Linked DNA regions of Diceros bicornis minor. The protein of the gene in region 1 interacts with the protein of each later gene in a pairwise test. Links are inferred from orthologs where the notes say so. Each region holds a gene or a part of one and is shown in the gene's direction. Other genes may lie near its edges. The genes, in order: CEBPG and CEBPE.

Region 1 (9,677 bases):
TAATGAGCCAATATTTATACATTATCAAATAAATTAAATAAAGTCTATACTTTATTTGATTTTTTTTAGTTTCTACCCAATGTCCTTTCTCTGTTCCAGGATCCCATCCAGGATACCACATTACATGTAGTCATCACATCCCTTAGGATTCTCCAGACCGTCACATTTCCTCTGACTTTCTTTGTTTTTGATGACCTTGACAGTTTTGAGGAATACTGGTCAGGTATTTTGTAGAATGCCCTTCTAGTGGAATTTGTCTGGTGTTTGTCTCATTTGACTGGGGTTTTGAGTTCTTGGAAGGAAGATCAAAGAGGTCAAGTGACATTTTCATCTTATTATGTCAACATGGTTTATGACTATTGAAATTGACCTTGATCACCTGGCTGTAGTAAGTAGCATTTATCAGGTTTCTCCACTGTACAGTTCCTCTTTATTTTTCCCTTTCATGCTCTGCTCTTCAGAAGGAAGTCACCATGTGCAGCCTACACTTAAGGAGTGGAGAGTTACGCTCCTCCATCTGAGGGTGGAGTATCTACATAGATTATTTGGAATTCTTCTACATGGGAGAGTTGTCTCTTCTCCGACATTTATTTATTTACTCAATCATTTATTTATATCAACATGGACTCAGGGATATTTATTTTATACTTTGGATTATGATGCAATACTACATTATTTATTTTGCCCCTCAAATTGGCGTGGGGGCTCTTTGGGTGCTGGGGGCTCTTTCATTTGGGTCCTGTGACTCTTTGACATCCTATAATGGACTGAATGTTTGTGCCCCCCCTACATTCCTATGTTGAAGGAATCACTAATCCCAAGTATGATGGTATTTAGAAATGGGGCCTTTGGGAGGGAATTAGGGTTAGATGAGTTCCTGAAGGCCCTCTTTTGATGGGATTAGTGCCCTTATAAGACGAGACACCAGACAGCTTGCTCTCTCTCTCTCCCCGCATGCGCACTAACAGGTCACATGAGCACACAGGGAGATGGCGGCTGCCTACAAACCAAGAGAAGAGGCCTCAGAATAAAATCTACCTTGCTTGCTTCTTGATCTTGGACTTGTCAGCCTTCTATTGGAATTTGTCTGGTGTTTGTCTCATTTGATTGGGGTTTTGAGTTCTTGGGAGGAAGATCAAAGAGGGTGAATGCTATTTTCTGTGGTTTAAGCCACCTAGTCTATGATACTTTGTTATAGCAGCCTGACCTAAGGCACATACCACCATTGTTTTGCTTTTTGAGTACTTCCTTACTTTCTGGTACTGCAAGATGCTCCAGGCTTATCCTGTATATTTCCTGCCTCAATCCTAGAATCAGCCATTTCTCCAAGGAGCTCAGTTCCTTTTATTAAAGAATGGTATTAGAAACTAAGAACGGGGACCTAGGTAACAAATTCTCTTTGGATGGACAAACTATTTTGTGCCTCCTACGTGCTAGGCACTATGCGATCTTCTTTTCATGTCAACTTACTTAATCCTCGTAACAATTCTATGAGGTATTTACTGTCAACCCTCTCTACAGATGAGGAACAGGTTAAACCTAGGTTGGCTAGGTTAAATGCTAGCCAACATCACCCTGTTCTGTCTCCAAAGCCCATCATACTGCCATGATGGAGACTGGTGTCACATATATCACAAATATACAAACCAAAAAAACCCCACCTCATTTATCTTTGGTTTGGTACTTCATAGGCACTGGAATAATTTGCATTACAATAACTATGTAACAGGTAATTAGTGCTTATTCTGTGGAGTGAAGATATGTGATAATAAGACCCTCTTGGGCCCACAAAAGATCCAGATTACCTCTCTTGATGTGCACAGATGTCACCCCCTCTCTTATGTGCACAGATGACGAATACCTATCATTATATGCCCAGGCGACAGGCACCTAGCCTCATGTGCACAGATGCATGTAGCTCTCCTCATGTGTGTGGATGATCTGCACTGTCTTCATATAATCACATGGTACACATCTATCCTTGTGCACACAGATGACAAGTACGATTCTTAAGTGCACAGATGACATGTCTTAACTCACAGGCTAACAAAATCTGACACATGGAAAAATGCTTTATGATAGACATTCACAGTATTTGCTAACTGTTCAAGTTTAAGCTATGTCAGATTTTTCTCTTCATGCATAGGACCTGCTTTTGAAATTTGGAAATGTCCTAAGACAACTATTTAGCATCTTAGCTGTTATGATTCCAAATAGTGCTTCTAAAGGTAAAATTGGAGGTTTAAATTTTCCCCTCAAGATAGGGATCATATCACGTGGGAAAGAACAAATCAGTCAGCCAGGGTGACTAAGGATCCATTAGAGTGACCAGTGTGATCTGACATTTGAAATGGATATTAATGGATTCGTCTGCTCAGCACTCTCTTTTCCTCTGGGAAGTGCCTCTGCCATCCCCTCCGTAGCTGCCATGTTAGTACATCGTGATTTGTTCCCGGTTATTTGATCATTCCGGGTATGAGCACACTGCTCAGCTGGGCCAATCCCAGAGTCCTTGCCTAAGGATTTTTGTAACAAGAACTTAGAAAGGGATTTAGTTGGCCTTTCTCTAGTGACCAAAGCTGTGAACATTGAGGATGTCATTGGCCATGTGAAGAAAGAAGCAAGCAGAAAGAATAATGAAACCAATAGGCATGTGCACACACACATACACACACAGAGACAGAGAGACAGAGACAGACATGAAGACATTTGAGCATTTCAGGTCTTGGTTCTGATGTGGCCTGGTACTTCATGAAGAGTGTCCTATAACCTTTGACCATGTCCTTCTTTACGCTAAGGCTAGTCAGGGATGGTTTTCAGTTACTTCCAATCAAAAGAACCCTAAGCAATGCAGAATGATTGACAATCACTGTCACATTATTGCTAATATAACACAATCAATATCTACTGAGATTCAAACCTGTGACAGACATCATCTCAATTCTCAAAATATTATAGACATGGTCCAGATCTCCTGTCAAAGGTGGTTAATTTGGTATACTAATTTTTCAGAAACTTTCCAAATACACATTTATGCTAGATACCTAAGTATTATCATTAAGTACTTAAGGCACATTTAAGACAAATACTTGTTTGCATAGTAACTGTCTATTGATCTGGCTTTCAAACAAGAGATTTCAAATTATTAAATTTTTCCTCCATTCTACTTTATAGAAACAAATGAAATGATAAGATGTGGCAACTAAAAGAACTATTCTAAAAAACATCTTTTGGGATACACCAAAGGGTCAGCATCAACACCCTCAATATTGTGTATATTTCAGTGCCTGAATCATCAAAGCAATGTTAAGCACCCTGTTTTGAAGTTCATTTTAGTCTACTACAATTCTATGGATATAATTTGTTTATAATTCACATATGAGCATCATGGTATTAACAGCTAACACTTTGCTCCTACCATGGACCAGGCAGGCATTGTTCTAGGAGCCTAACATATTAACTCCTTTAATCCTCACAGCAATCCTATTAGGTAGATACTGTTGTTATCCCCATTCACAGTTGACTCAGAGGTCAAGTAATTTGTTTGAGGTCACACAACCAGTAAGAGGTGAAGCTGTGGACAGAATAGCCTGACACTAGAGTCCATACCTCTTAGGTAACTAAGGTCGTTAATCATAGTAGCTGTCAGGTCACTAGCATGTTCAGTTAATAGGACATCCTACTTCTCAAGTCATTTGGAGGGGATTTTAATGTACTACTTGTTTACAAATTCTTTGGATTTGTAGAATATGTATTGGGTATCAGTGAGGCAGAGATCTCTGCAGGAAATTTTTCTTTTATTATGATGGCTTGGGTCCCTGTGACTTACAAGAAAGCAATATGGTGGATCTCCTCAACCTGGAGATAGCCTCCACCAGACTCTCCTCACTTCTTTATGGGGAGAGCAAGTTAAGAGATGGCTTTCCATCTCTCTTATGGTAAAAATCAGAACGCTTCTAGGCCCTGCCTATCTCACAGTCTAACGGGGACACCGTGGTTCAGTCACTCTGGCCTTACATTTCTCCCATCACAAGACCTTTAGATAAGACATTCCCTCTGACTGGCACATCCACTTCGTCTGTGCCACGGAGCCAAACTCCACTCATCTTTTAGGCCTTCCCTGACCCATAGACCAGGTTTTGATCCCGTTTTATAATCTCTCACAGCACTGTGTACGTCTTTCTTGTAGTATCTATGAAAATGGTTATAGAAAATTGTGTCATTACTGAATGTCTGCTTCCCTTGGCTCTAAGTGTAAGCTCCATGTGGGCAGGGACTGTGTTTGTTGTGTTCATTGCTGAATCCCCAGCACTTGGCCCACAGCTAGCACATAGTTGGCACCAAATAAATATTTGTAAACTGAGAAGAAAGAATTACCAGCTACCAGTTGAAGAGGAAATAAACACTCTAGTCTCCTTGGCATTGGCTAGACTTGCTGAGTGTGGAAGGCGGCCTGTCCAGATAGACACAGAAAATGCTAGAGCAGCTTGGCAGAGTGGCTAGCAAACTAGAGGATAAATGAATATACCAATATGATTTTTTTCCATACAATTTTTAAGAGATTAGAAAATAGTGAGGGTAAAATTATGATTTTGTGAGCAACAAAATATAATCCAACTTTAATAGTGCTAAAATCTTGATCAAAGAAATTTCAGCTAAGAACACTGAGGGCCAAAGTGAAAGAAACATGCTGCTTTTGATGATATTGTGTCACTCCAGCAAGTGTGCTTCTATGGTCATCGTGGTTCACTTTTAGTTGCAGCCCTTTTTATTTTTACTTTATTTTTTGCAAATGTTTTATCATCTCTTTATGATTCCTCGAAACAGTCCTATGCAGAGAGCTGGTGCCATGGCCTGGGCGATGAAGAAACGTTTCCTCTTTCAAAGACTCTATTTTTTGGACAACAGGAGTTGCTCAAGAGGAAGCAATCAAACCTATCGCCGGCTCTGTCCTCTACCCAGCACACTGCTTCCTGGTTTTAAAGCGCTTTCAGATCCGCCTGTGAATTATCTTGGATAAATAAAGCGGGATTGCCATTCATTTTTGGAGATCACATCTCAATCTGGAAGACAGCACAGGGGAATCGATCATGGAAATTCCATTCGTTTCCCCGTTTCAGCGAACCACAGTCCGCAGTGTCCGCCAACGTGACATCAATACTACGTTGGGAAGATTTTGCTTCGTTCGTTTTTTAACAAGTTTGCAGTTGCCTTAACGGCTGTGAGGTCCAGGCCTTCTCTGCAGGCTCCCTCCGAGGGCGCGGGCCCGTTGGGTGCCCCACGTCCCGGGAAACTGTCCCCGTGAGGACGCCGAGGGGGCTCCCCGAGGCCGTGGGGAAACCAAAACAGAAACCGCTGATTCAAAACACCACCTCAGGAAATGGTGCTTTCCAAAGACAGGTGTTGCCTCCAACGTTGACAGACCCTTTCTCGCCGCGGGTCTCCACAGCTCCGGGCCGCAGCCCCGCTCCAACGGCGCAGGAACCCCGGGCGGCGCCGAGGCAGACCGTCACCTCCCGCCACATCCGCCCACTCCGCTGCGCCGTGGTGGACGCCTCCGCCACGTGCCCGCCTCCCGCAGCCAGACCGCTCCCGATTGGCTGGCGGCGCTGCCTGTCGCGAGGGGCGGGCGCGTCGCCTGCAGGCCGGCGCTCCCATTGGTCCTTGACGCGGCGGCGGCAGCGCGCGCGGCCCCGGCGAGGAGGGGAAGCCGGTGGCGGCGGCGGCGGAACGGGCGGAGGCTGCCGGTTTCGTAACCGTCGCTTGTCCTCGGTGACTCGCAGGCTACTAGGCCTGGCTCGGGTTGGGCCGCGGCGCGCGGGGCCGCTCGGAGTGGAGGCCGCCTGGGGGCGGGCGGGCTGGAGGCGCAGGTAAGGAGGTCGAGGGCGGGCGGGCGAGCTGACGGGGAGGAGGAGGCCGCGGCGGAGCCGGCCGCTTGCGTGCGCTTGGGCCTGGCCCGAGGAGACCCGGCCCGGCCCGAGGGGGCCGGCCCCGCGCGGCGTCTGATGCAACCTGCCGGCAACACCCGGCGGGGCCGCTGAGCTCATCCCTGGCCGCGGCCCAGCGCCGCCGCGCCGCCCGCCGACCCCCGCGCTCCCCGGGCGCCCCTCGCTGCCGGCCCGGACGGGAGGGAGTCGAGGTGTGCCCCTCCGGAAGTCGGCCCTGCGTGCCGTCCGGCTGTGACGGGGCTCGTATTGGCCTCTGGGGATAAAGGGTGTTCCCAGAATAGCAGAAGGGGGACCGTATCCCACTTGAGTGGCACGTAGGATAGATCCTGCCCCCACGAAGCTGCTCGATGCGGGCTGGTGGGGGATTGTGTTCAGAAGGTACTAGAAGGAGCAAGTAGTGAGGGGAAGAAGTTGCTTTTTAAATACAAGACTTTACAGAAATAATAATATGCTTTCTTCTGGGGCTGTAATTTGAATATCCTGCAATTCACTGTTGAACTTAGGATAGATGAACGTGCAGCACCCACGGGTGAATGGGAAACAGGAGGGCGAGAGATGCAGCGCCTCGTTAGCACGGTTGGAGGGAACACGGGAGAATAGCTCGCAGAGGTGTCTAGATGGAGAGGATGCACATGCGTGTTTGGGGGGAAGGATAGAATGTTCCTACAGGTAAGCTTGTATGTTTCTGTTCTACGGAAGGTTTAAGTATGTGGTTTGCCTCCTGAGGTTTCTGCTGGAATCTGGCATCTTAAAATGTGTCACTTCGAGAAAGATTTTAACATTGGTGGGTTGCACAAAAATTGGTAGTTCTTCCTCGGAGCCCACACTCAGTCGGTCCTACGCTCTGTCAAATCGTTATTTGAAGAGATTGTCTTTTAATTCAGATAGGATATGTAACTCCGAGAGAAATTTTGGCAATAAAATACTATAAGGGCTTGCTTTACTAAGAAATTCTGCATCTAAAAGTTCTTGATACTTAAAAGTTAAAATCTGGTCAGCTGTTACCCTTCGAGTAGTATTTGGGATAAGCTCTTCTGAAAGTTGATTCTCTGTTTCTGGAAAAACTTACGGTAAACAAGGTTAAATAGTTACAGGATGCTAGTGAGCTGAAGAATTTTTCAGTTTCTTGATTCCTGCTTCTGGTGGCTGCACTTAGCTGATTCAGTCCTTTTTAATATCCCTAAAAACATAGGTGGAAACAAAACTTCATTTTTCAGATTATGCTTTAAATTCTCAAGAGTACATCATGACTGTTAGCGAGGTTGTCTGATCATGGACAGGTGGTTTCATCCCAAGAGATTTAAACAGCAAGTGATGAGTCCCTGGTAAAGACAAATAGGACCTCATGGGGCTGAATATGGTCTTATGGCCTAAGCTTGCCTCACCTGATCACAGTAATGGTAAATGCAGGAAGTCACAATTCCAGGTTTATTGTGTATTTTGGGGAGGAGGTGCTTCTGTGGGTTCTCGTACTGGTAGGTACATTGATCTTCTACCTTTTTGGCTTTCCAGCCCTGTCAGTAAAAAAAAATAAAAATAAAAATGAAAATTGACCATGACCGCCTACTGTATATTTATAAACAATGTGTGTGTATTATTTTTTTTGTATGTTATAAATCACACCAAAAGTAGAAAGATGACATTAAAAAAAGCTGAATGTACATTTTTTTCTCCTACTCCAGTGGACCACTTAATGTATTCCCTGAAGGGATGTACCCTCCTTCATGGACCCCTGTTTTGGGTCATGAAGCAAGCAGTGGCAACTGAATAGAAATCCTGCTCGTTTGGGTGTCTGTTGACTTTGCTTACCTTGACTTCACTTGTAGTACAGAGTTGGCAGATCCTGCCATACATGCCTAAGAACTTGAGGTTATTAATTGGAGAACATAACTGGGCTAAGTAGAAAATAAAGGTTCTAAACTGAAATGAAGCAAAGACCAGACACGAATGATGTTCACTGTACAGACTAGGGACTTAATAGCAAATAGAACTTATTTTTATTTTTCTGTACACTTTTAAGAAAGACCAAAAACTTTAGGTAGCAAGACCATAATATCTTAGTAACACTCTTTTGATTTAATTGCGGTTGTTTTAAGAGATTTCAATGCTAGAGAGTCTCATTTTTATATGACATTTATAAAAATAAATGTTTTCTCTTAGGCTTTTGAGCCTGTATTCAGCAAATATTTGTTGAGCACCACTATATACACCTAGCTCTGCACTAGATGCTGGGCATGTGGCGAAGACGAGAGTCCTGCCTCCAGCTTAGTCTACAGGGAGATACACTGTAGAGCTGGCATTGACAAAGAAACTGGGGACAGAAGAAAATTGGACAGAAGCACAAAGAAAACAGAAAGCACAGACCATTTAGGGGACTGATAATGGTTTAGTATCATTGAGGTGTGAAGTATAAGGGAGCAGAGGCTAGAGAGAGGTTAACACCTTGGATTTGATCCTCTATGCCTGAGCCACAGAAGACTTTTCAGCAAGAGGTTGTGACACACTCAGGTTTGAGTGCTAGATTGCTCTGGAGACAGTGGTTGGAGGGAACACTGCTAAACCAGAGGAGACTAGTGCCCCTGAGAGATGATGTCAGCCTGAGGTAATTCTGTGGCAGTGGGATGGAGAGGGATGGTGGATGTTTTTTTTGGGGGGGGGGGGAAGGTGGGTAGAATTGTCAGATACTAATGATTGAACAGATTTGGAGCAAGGGAGAAACATCTATGAATATTTTGGAATGTAGATCTTCACTGAGGAAATTAGAGTGAAAAATTTATTTTGGGGGGCTGGGGGAAGAATATCTGTACATATGTGAAAAAAGTAAAGAGGGTTAGGAAAATTCTTGACAGGTTTATTATCTCAAATGAAATTTGAGAAAAATTTGATTTTGTTTTACTCATTCTAACATTCTGAGTTTTCAGTGTGTTCTTGATTTGCATGAACATTACTCAGATTAAGAAATTTGAATTAAAAAAAATGTTACCCACTCAGGCCTTCTTTCTTAAGATCCATTGTTAATGTGTAGCAGTGGTGCCCAAACTTCAGTGTCATCAGAATCACTTGGAGGTCCCATTAAAACAAGATTGCTTAGCCCTGTTCCTAGAGCTCCTCATTCCTAGGTCTGGGCCAGCCTGAGAATTTGCACTTCAAACAAGTTCCCAAATGATGCTGCTGCTGGTCCAGGGACCACACTTTGAGAACTACTGCTCTTCAGTTTTTCTACTGCTTCCTGCTTGAATGATTCACATGCAAGGAAACAGGGTGCCACCCTGCTTCCTGTGGACTGAACTTTGGAATAGTATTTGTCCCCATAGTAGCCAGACTTTCATTTAGGGTTGAATACACAGATTTGAAATAAACTTATTTTTTTGCTCACTGGAGGTGCTCAATAAATGTTTGTGGAAGGAACAGAAGCACAAATGACAGTGTAAACTGTACAATGTGTAACTTTTGGAGGCAACTATTTGCTCAGTGTAAAAACCAAATTGATAATCCATGTGGAGTTAAGTCTTTTAGGCGACTTAGCTTCTTGACCCCCTGTACTTGCTTCATGTTCCTTTATGGCTATCTCTTCACTTTAAGAGCTACTTTCTTGGCTTGTCTTTGGTTGAAGAACTTTTTTTTTTTTTTTTTTAAACATTTTTATTATCTGTAAGTTTATTATCTCCAAGAGTATTTTGTATTATCTGCAAGTCCCCTTATATTTTTACCAGTTTGATGAGTACTCTT
Region 2 (8,201 bases), on another chromosome or scaffold:
AAATATTTTTGAAGCTGGCGTTTCTATTTCTTTTGGATTTTTTTAATGTACGGTTGTTTTGGGGGGGAGGGGGTTAGTTCTACCTGGATAATAATCTCTGTCTTTGGTTTAGGATTTAGAGGGGTTTTTTAGTTTGTTTTGTGGAGGGCTTTTGTTTTTTTCTTTTAATGTAATAAAATTTAAAATGGAAATGAAGTTGGTGGTGTTGATAATTCAATGACCTTGTGAGACAGAGTTGCCAGGCATTTCCGGTCGCCCTCAGGAGGTCTTTGGTTGCCAGGTTCCTTCCAGGATGGCATTCCTCAGGGCCCTCCCTCTGTCCCAGGGACCCAGTGATAGCACTTCAAACAGCTCCCTTTTGTTTTGAACCAAAAACTTGCTCTCATTTCTTCTGTGAAGTCACGAAGTGTTAGTGAGTTCCCGCTCTGTGCTGAGAGCCTGCAAACTAGCTGGGAAGCAGAAACTCGTCGCTCCCCAAGGTGGGGACCTAGGCAACCAGGAGGCAGCATCAAGCTGAGTGGAGGGAGGTGGAGGCAGAGGTGGTCCCCAAGGCCCATCAGCAAAGGCTGCTGGCACCAGGACAGCCACAGCTGAATGAGAAAGGAAGGGAGGGGCTGAGTCTGTGGAAAGACCCAGAAGGGGACTTAGGAGAGTGCCAAGCTGGGTCGACAGGGCTTGATGGGAGGGCCAGGGAGGGGAGGCAGGGGGGTCCACACAGCTGTACAGAGCCTTCAGGAGGAAGATCTCTAGGTGGAAGACTAGGAGGACAAAGGAGGAAGTAGTTAAGGGAGGGACAAGTCTGGCCTGGTGCTTTGGGGTAATCGCTGGAGGAAGTTGAAGGGATTAGCCCCAGGCCTTGCTTGGAGTCCCTCCTGTGTGGGCAGCCCTCCGGGCCGCCTGTCCTGGGACAGCATCATTCCAGAGCCAGCACCGCTGACAGACGTGACAGAAGGGGTGTTAAGACATCACCCTCCACCAACTGGGACACTGTGAGGACACAGGCAGGCAAGATGCCTCCAGTCCCGTCCTGGCCCGGCCCCAACCCTCTTGCTTTGTGACGGGCGTTCTTCTAGACCAAGGCTGGAGGCTCGCCATTCACAGGGGCACAGACACTTGACTCGGAGTCCCAGGTCAGCCACTGAACAGCTGTGTGTCCTTGGGCAAGTCACTTCATCTATTTAGCACTTTTAGAGAGAAAAAAAGAAGAGTTGAACCTAATCTCAAAGTGTTCCTCAATCCCCCAATCCAAGGTTGTCCCAAAACAGCAAGGGCAGAACTGGGCAGAGCTAGTCCTGTGCAGGAGGCCTTTCTCCACCCCACGTCCACAGTTTGGGACCCCTCTCCCCCAACACACACTTTCCTATCCCTGGGCTGCCTGAGGTCTCCTCCATGTGGCCTCATTCCGGCAAGTCCAGCCCTCTCTCCCCAATCCCCTCTCACTCCCTGGAGACACTTGTCCCTGGGGCCCCTCCCTCTCTCTGTAAGGTGACACTTGCTGATCTTTTCAACCTGGTCAAATGGGCAAATATGGGTTTCCTCCTGGGCAACATGCATTTATTTTTAACCTGGGCCTTTACCCTGACTTAACCCTGTCAGTCACTTTAACGCTAGGAATTCAGATGCTCAGAACTTAGGGAATTTGGGAGCCTTTTGGAGGCTGAAATCATAGCTGCTTAAGCATTCACTTATTAATAAAGTCACACAACACATCTTTTTATAACCATGTGTCCAAGGATTTTGCTATATGCTGTAAGAATAGCAAACTTATCCCTGAATTTTCCAAATCATCACAGACTCCAAATATTTTGTGCCATTGTCTCCATAAGCACACTCATTTGTATCAATCCACCTGTCCTTAATTTTAATTCAGGCAACATGGTGACCATAGCTGAAGAGGTCCAAAAAATGTATCTGACCCTACCTTCAGGGAGGGTGTAGTCTACGGGGGAAAGACGGCAAGAAGGCCTGTGGTACATAAGTGTGCACTTCACAGCATCACTGACCGTCCACTCCAGCTGGGCTGTGAGCTGCTGCAGGCGGGGCTGAACTGCCTGATCTCCAGAGCCTGCCCAGTGCCTGGTACCTACGTGCTCAAAAACGCTTGTCAAGGCCAGCCTGGTGGCATAGTGGTTAAGTTTGGCACACTCCGCTTCAGCCGCCCAGGTTCACAGGTTTGGGTTCCCAGCACGGACCAACACTTCTCATCAAGCCATGCTGTGGCAGTGACCCACAAACAAAATAGAGGAAGATTGGCACAGATGTTCACTCAGGGCCAATCTTCCTCACCAAAAAAGAAAAAAGAGGAAGACTCACAACAGATGTTAGCTCAGGGCCAATCTTCCTGACACACACACAAAAAAATCAAAAATACATGTATAAAAAAAAACGCTTGTCAAATTGAGGCCTCAGAAGAGGCTGCAGAGAGTGTTTCTGTGTAGGAGACACAGATAAACCACAAGGGGCAGTTAGAGGAAGGGCGGAAGGAGACTGAACATTTACTGAGACCAATTGCTTTCCATACATTATCTTATTCAAAGTTTAATTCAACGACAGGACAAAGTAGGCATTACTACCGCCATTTTACATGTAAGATTAAGTAACTTGCCCAAGGTCACCTAGCGGGTAAGTGACAGAGGCGGGATTTGAGCCCAGTTCTGATACTTCACCACCATGCTCACCCCCTCCCTGTTGGAAAGTCTTGATGAAGGAGGTGGTGTTTGAACTGAGGCCTGTCCCAAAGTCACTAAGATAATACGCAGGCATTGTTCCAGTTCATGCAAACAGGTAGCAACAGCAGTGGCCTGGAGAAGAGGATCCTGCTGACCAGGGAGGGCTTCTTTCTGCTCCTGAATCCCCAACACTCCCCCAGCCCTGGACTGGCACTGCCCTCCCCACCCGCTTCCTGTCCAGTGCCCCCTCCTCTCCTGCCCCGACATCCAGAGCGCCGCCGCTGGCCCAGCCACACTCTCCACTCCTCGGTTACTGGGAAACACTGATGTCAGTGCGCCAGCGACGTCAGCCACCAGCCTGGAGATGAGGGACCGAGATCCCTTATCTCTATGGCCGAGCTTTCTCATTTCCTGCCAGCTCTATTTGCACACCTCCCTGCTTCCTCCAGCGCCGCATCACTGTCCACGCAGTCTCCCCGTCCCCCGCGGGGGGGTTGGGGGGGTGACTGAGGGCACAGAAGGCTCTCTGAGTCACACAGCTCCCCCTCTCCCTAGCCCCTCTTGCCTGGGGGTTTCAAGAACTAGGGCACTGCCCTTTTCCCCAAGATCAACGCATCCTTGTATGACCTTGGGCAGCTCAGCCTGGTTTCCTCGTGTATAAGGTAGGGGTAAAAATACTGTCTCTTTTGCTTACCTTCCAACTTAACGCACAGGGAAATGGTCAGCATGGAAAAGTATGTTTCAATGATTGGAGAAGCATAACACCAGAAAATGCCAGGCCTTAACCACCATCACTATTTCAAAGTTGGGGAGGGGATAAAATTTCTCCTCACTGAGACAAGGCCCTGGCCCCAGTGCTCTCAACCTGCCCACTCTGCGTGTAACTGCACCGCAAGCCCCCATCCTGGCCATGTTTCTTCTTCCTCCTCCATGGAGGCCCAGCCTTGCCTTGCCCGGGTCGGGGCTGTGGGAGGCTGCCCTCTGCCGTCCACCTGATTCCTGACCATGGCAGCCCCTCAGGGCCTGAATTTTGGACCAATATTTCCACCTGGTGGTCAAAAGAGGCACTGCCGCCACACAAGTAGCTCAGCTCTGGTACCTGTTTGCCACAGGGTCCTTCGAAATGAGGAGAAGGTAGAAATCTCCCCATCTGGTTCCTGAGACCCGTCTCAGGGATGCACGCAGATGTCCCCACGCCACGTCCGGGCTTTCAGAGAAAGTAGCTCAAGCCCCGCGAAGAGAGCTCTTGGGGTAGGTGTAGGGGTGGGAAGGAAGGGAGGAAGGAGGATGCTAACTAGTCTGACTTGTAGGCGGCCCTGTCTACGCTTGCAGACTTTATTTTAGCGTTCAACGCCGCACATATCCCCTCTGCATCTGCCCCGCTGGGGCCTGGCCTTGGTGTACCCGACTTATAAAACATTCTGGCCTCCACAGGGCCCTCACAGCATTTGCTGGTGATAAAAGAGCCAACGACACATTTCTATGTGTCCTGTCCTTTACACTGGACCTCGAGTCCCTTTTGTAGATGAAATTCGACAGGTGAAATCAGAGCCACAGCTGGTGCCTCTGGCAGGAGAGAGTGGGGCTTCCCAGAGGAAAAAGAAAAGGGAAGGAGGGAGGGAGCCCAGCAGGAGAGCAAAAGTACAGAGTGAACCCTGGGCTTCTCCTGGAGACCCTGAAACAAAGCCTCAGGAAGAGGTGATGACAAAAGAGAAGGCTTCTCAAGCCTCACAAGGGGAAGTGGACCAAGAGACACGCATCGAGGTCAGAGAACGGCCGTGCAGAAGGAAAGACAGCAAACCAAGCTGCAGAGCGCCTGAGCCCTGCGGCCCAGGGCACAGGAAATGGGGCAGAGCCTCAGGACCAGAGCAGGGCAGAGTGCCAGCCTGAGGCTCTAGCAGTGCAGGGCAGCTGGAAGAGGGAGGCACTGGGGCCACCAGAGGAGTGCAGCTCTCGGTTCCTGGGGCAGCAGGCTTCCCGGGCCTGGGGCACAGGGCCCAAGACCTGACCAGGCACCCCAGCCAGGCCCAGGCAGTCAGGGACAGTGCCAGACTGCTAGAGCTGGCCAGGGCTGGAAACATGTGAGGGTTTGGGCTATTGCACAGGCCCTGTGCAAAAACTGAGCAAATGAGCATGCTCTGCACCATGGTACAGGCCTCCTTGTAGAGCTTGGTCCCAGACCTTCACTGCTTCCTAAACCCCTCAAACAACATCCCTGGCCTGCACCCAGGAGAATGCCCTTGGAGGTGGGGCTACAAAAGGAACTCGCTGCCCCTGGGGGTAGGTGGAGCCCCGCACTGCGGGGGACCCAGAGGGAGGCGTGTCAAAGGAGGAGCTCAGATCAGGCTGGGGGTCGGCACTGGAAGAGGGTGTTCTCTGTTCATTCTGACTTGGCACCTCATTCTGCATAGAACTTTCTGGAAGTCAGAGGGAGGAGGACACTCAAGAGTGAGGTGTTGCCCTCAGCGAGGACTCTGGAATCCCCTGGACTCAACGGGAGGGGGAGGCATTCCCAGAAGCATCAGCTCCTGGGCATCTCAGAACCCTGGCTGGGACCCTGACCACAGAGTGCCCCCAACTGCTAAATAGGTCCGGGGCCCCATTGCTCTAAGGCCTGCATCCCTTCCTCCGGGGTACACCCTGCCCCTCCCTGAGTCAGCCCAGGGAGAGAGGGGAAAAAAGGGAAGAGAAAAGAAGCATTGACTACAGAGGAAGGAAAAGGAAACAGCAGAGGAGGGAGGAGAGAGGCCACACAGGAGTGGGTGACAGAGGAGATCGGAGAGGGCAGATCTAGAGCAGATCTAGGGCAGGGGGAGATCGAGACAGGGCAAGCCGAGCATCCCAAAGCGTGCCCCAAGAGCACAGCGGCGGGGGCGGGGAGCCCAGGGGGCGGGCCGGCATGTCCCACGGGACCTACTACGAGTGTGAGCCCCGGGCTGGCCAGCAGCCACTCGAGTTCTCAGGGGGCCGAGCGGGGCCTGGGGAGCTGGGGGACATGTGTGAGCATGAGGCCTCCATCGACCTCTCCGCCTACATCGAGTCTGGGGAGGAGCAGCTCCTCTCTGACCTCTTCGCTGTGAAGCCTGCACCTGAGGCCCGAGGCCTTAAGGGCTCCGGAACCCCTGCCTTCCCCCACTACCTGCCGCCTGACCCGCGGCCCTTCGCCTACCCCCCACATACCTTCGGCCCTGACAGGAAGGCGCTGGGGCCTGGCATCTACAGCAGCCCAGGGAACTACGACCCCAGGGCTGTGGCCGTGAAGGAGGAGCCTCGGGGGCCAGAGGGCAGTCGAGGGGCCAGCCGCAGCGGCTACAATCCTCTGCAGTACCAAGTGGCGCACTGTGGGCAGACGGCCATGCACCTGCCCCCGGCCCTGGCAGCACCCAGCCAGCCCCTGCGTGTCCTCAAGGTAAGAACAGGTCAATTCTCCTCCTGCCACCCCGGGGCTGCAGAGATGCCCCTCTGGATGGGGGATCTCTGAGCTCCCTGCTTACCTAACGGGTCTGTGTTTGGTGTTGCTCTGCGAAATTACCCTCCCCACAGCCCTCCGTGCTCACCACCGAACCACGACCCCTCTTTGCTTCTCTGTGAATTCACTCCCACCCCAAACCTCACCATGTGGCTGGAACCCAACATGTCTGCAGCCCTTGTGGCCAGCTGACCTGCCCTGACCTCTGGCCCCCCACCAGCTTGCTGCACTCCTCTTGTTTCTCTGCCTCCTGCTTCTAGAAGAAGAAATGCCTGCTGATCGTAGAACTGGAGACTCAAGATAGATTGAAAGAAAGTGTCCTCAGAGAGTGTGGGAACATGACAGGAGTTTGAGTCAGAGCAGAGGACCCTCTGCATCTGGCAGGGCACGGGCTGTCCTGACTGGGAGCCAGGAGCCTGCTCTGAACCCCATATCCCTTTGATGCCCAAGAGTGCTCTGGCTGCTGGGACTCCCGCCCTGCCTCCACTCTGCTTGCCAGCCAGCTGTCACCTCTTCCCTCTGTGTCTTCCTCTCCAGGCCCCTTTGGCCGCTGCTGCGCCGCCCTGCAGCCCCCTCCTCAAAGCGCCCTCCCCAGCCGGCCCCTCGCACAAGGGCAAGAAGGCGGTGAACAAGGACAGCCTGGAGTACCGGCTGCGGCGGGAGCGGAACAACATCGCTGTGCGCAAGAGCCGGGACAAGGCCAAGAGGCGCATTCTGGAGACGCAGCAGAAGGTGCTGGAGTACATGGCAGAGAACGAGCGGCTCCGCAGCCGCGTGGAGCAGCTGACCCAGGAGCTGGACACCCTTCGCAACCTCTTCCGCCAGATCCCTGAGGCCGCCAACCTCATCAAGGGCGTTGGGGGCTGCAGCTAAGCCCGGCTGGCAGACTGTGGGCACCAGCCCCGTGGCCCAGTTTGACCGTGGGAACTCCCACCCTGCTGGGGTCCTAGAGCCCCTCACAGGCCGAGCCTGAGACACAGACATGGACAAACGGCAGCGGGTGGCAAGGGAGGAGGGCAGGCCCCAGCGTGATGGTTCTGTGGCTGAATAAAATTACACCATGACTCAGTGCTGGGGCTGTACACTGGACCTGTGTGTGTGTGCGTGTGTGTGTGTGTGTGTGTGTGTGTGTGTGTTTGCATGTGTGGCATGGGGGACTCCAAGGGTGGTGAATGCATGTGGCTAGGTGTGCATACTTATTGATTCCATGCCCAAATGAGTATTCAGGAATATTCCCAAATATTCAGCAGACATGCTGCCCACAGCTCTCCACCAACACACCACATGGCCAGGCTGGTGTCTGTCACTCTGCTCTTCTGTCCCCCTCTTCCCCGGCCCAGTCTGTCCTTCTGGACACTGAAGGCACCCCCACCCCCACCTCCCACAGGACCTGGAGTGGCCTCTAGATACTCTCCTGACGGAGCTCTGTGGCTTGCAGGGAGACCCCAGCACCACCCAGTCCTCTATGCCAGGCCTGCTGACCCTAGCCCTGCTCTCTTACCTTGAGGTATAAGTCTGGGAGCTCCTGCCCCAGGTGACCAAGGGAAAATTCTAGATGGCTCTGCCATATTTATGGTCCCTTAGCTCTTGATCCAGGACTCGATCCCTTCTCTCCAGTTCCTCAGCTTTAGTCCACCAGACTGATATCCCCCCATGGCTCCCACGCACTCGCCCCCATCTTTGTCCCTCATCCCCTGGGGCTGGGGAATGAGAAAACTGATCATGAGGAGGATGACAACCACCTGTGCCAGTGAGCCCCCACGTTCAAAGCACTGTCCTTTCCATAGAACTCTAGTCTGAGGGACACCAGAGTTCAGTGCTTGAGAGCTTCGGTTTGACTCTCCCTCTGCTATGTACTAGGTGTGTGACCTCGGGCCAGTTACTCCTCTCCATGCCTCAGGTTCCTCATCTGCAAAATGGGAGGCGAAAGAGCACCTGCCTCACAGTGCTGTTATGTTCATAGGTAAACAGGGCCCGGCCTGTGTAAGCAGGCATAGTTGTTGTTATTCCAATTTTAGAGGGCTGAAAAGACCTTAGAGATCTCATCTAAACTTCTCATTTGG

What was found.
Region 2: the proteins of CEBPG (region 1) and CEBPE interact in a two-hybrid assay, tested with the Homo sapiens proteins (2 studies listed by BioGRID and IntAct, with this or other methods). The link is inferred for Diceros bicornis minor from reciprocal best matches to the Homo sapiens genes CEBPG and CEBPE.

Annotation. Positions count from the first base shown.
Region 1 is NC_080773.1:7,002,780-7,012,456, forward strand, and holds the start of CEBPG (CCAAT/enhancer-binding protein gamma), read left to right. Parts: upstream 1-5,715; 5' UTR 5,716-5,870; intron 5,871-6,200; exon of another isoform or gene 6,201-6,617; intron 6,618-9,677. UniProt on the Homo sapiens protein: Transcription factor that binds to the promoter and the enhancer regions of target genes. Binds to the enhancer element PRE-I (positive regulatory element-I) of the IL-4 gene. Binds to the promoter and the enhancer of the immunoglobulin heavy chain.
Region 2 is NC_080744.1:24,654,033-24,662,233, forward strand, and holds CEBPE (CCAAT/enhancer-binding protein epsilon), read left to right. Parts: upstream 1-5,012; 5' UTR 5,013-5,568; coding exon 5,569-6,078; intron 6,079-6,675; coding exon 6,676-7,011; 3' UTR 7,012-7,191; downstream 7,192-8,201. UniProt on the Homo sapiens protein: Transcriptional activator. C/EBP are DNA-binding proteins that recognize two different motifs: the CCAAT homology common to many promoters and the enhanced core homology common to many enhancers.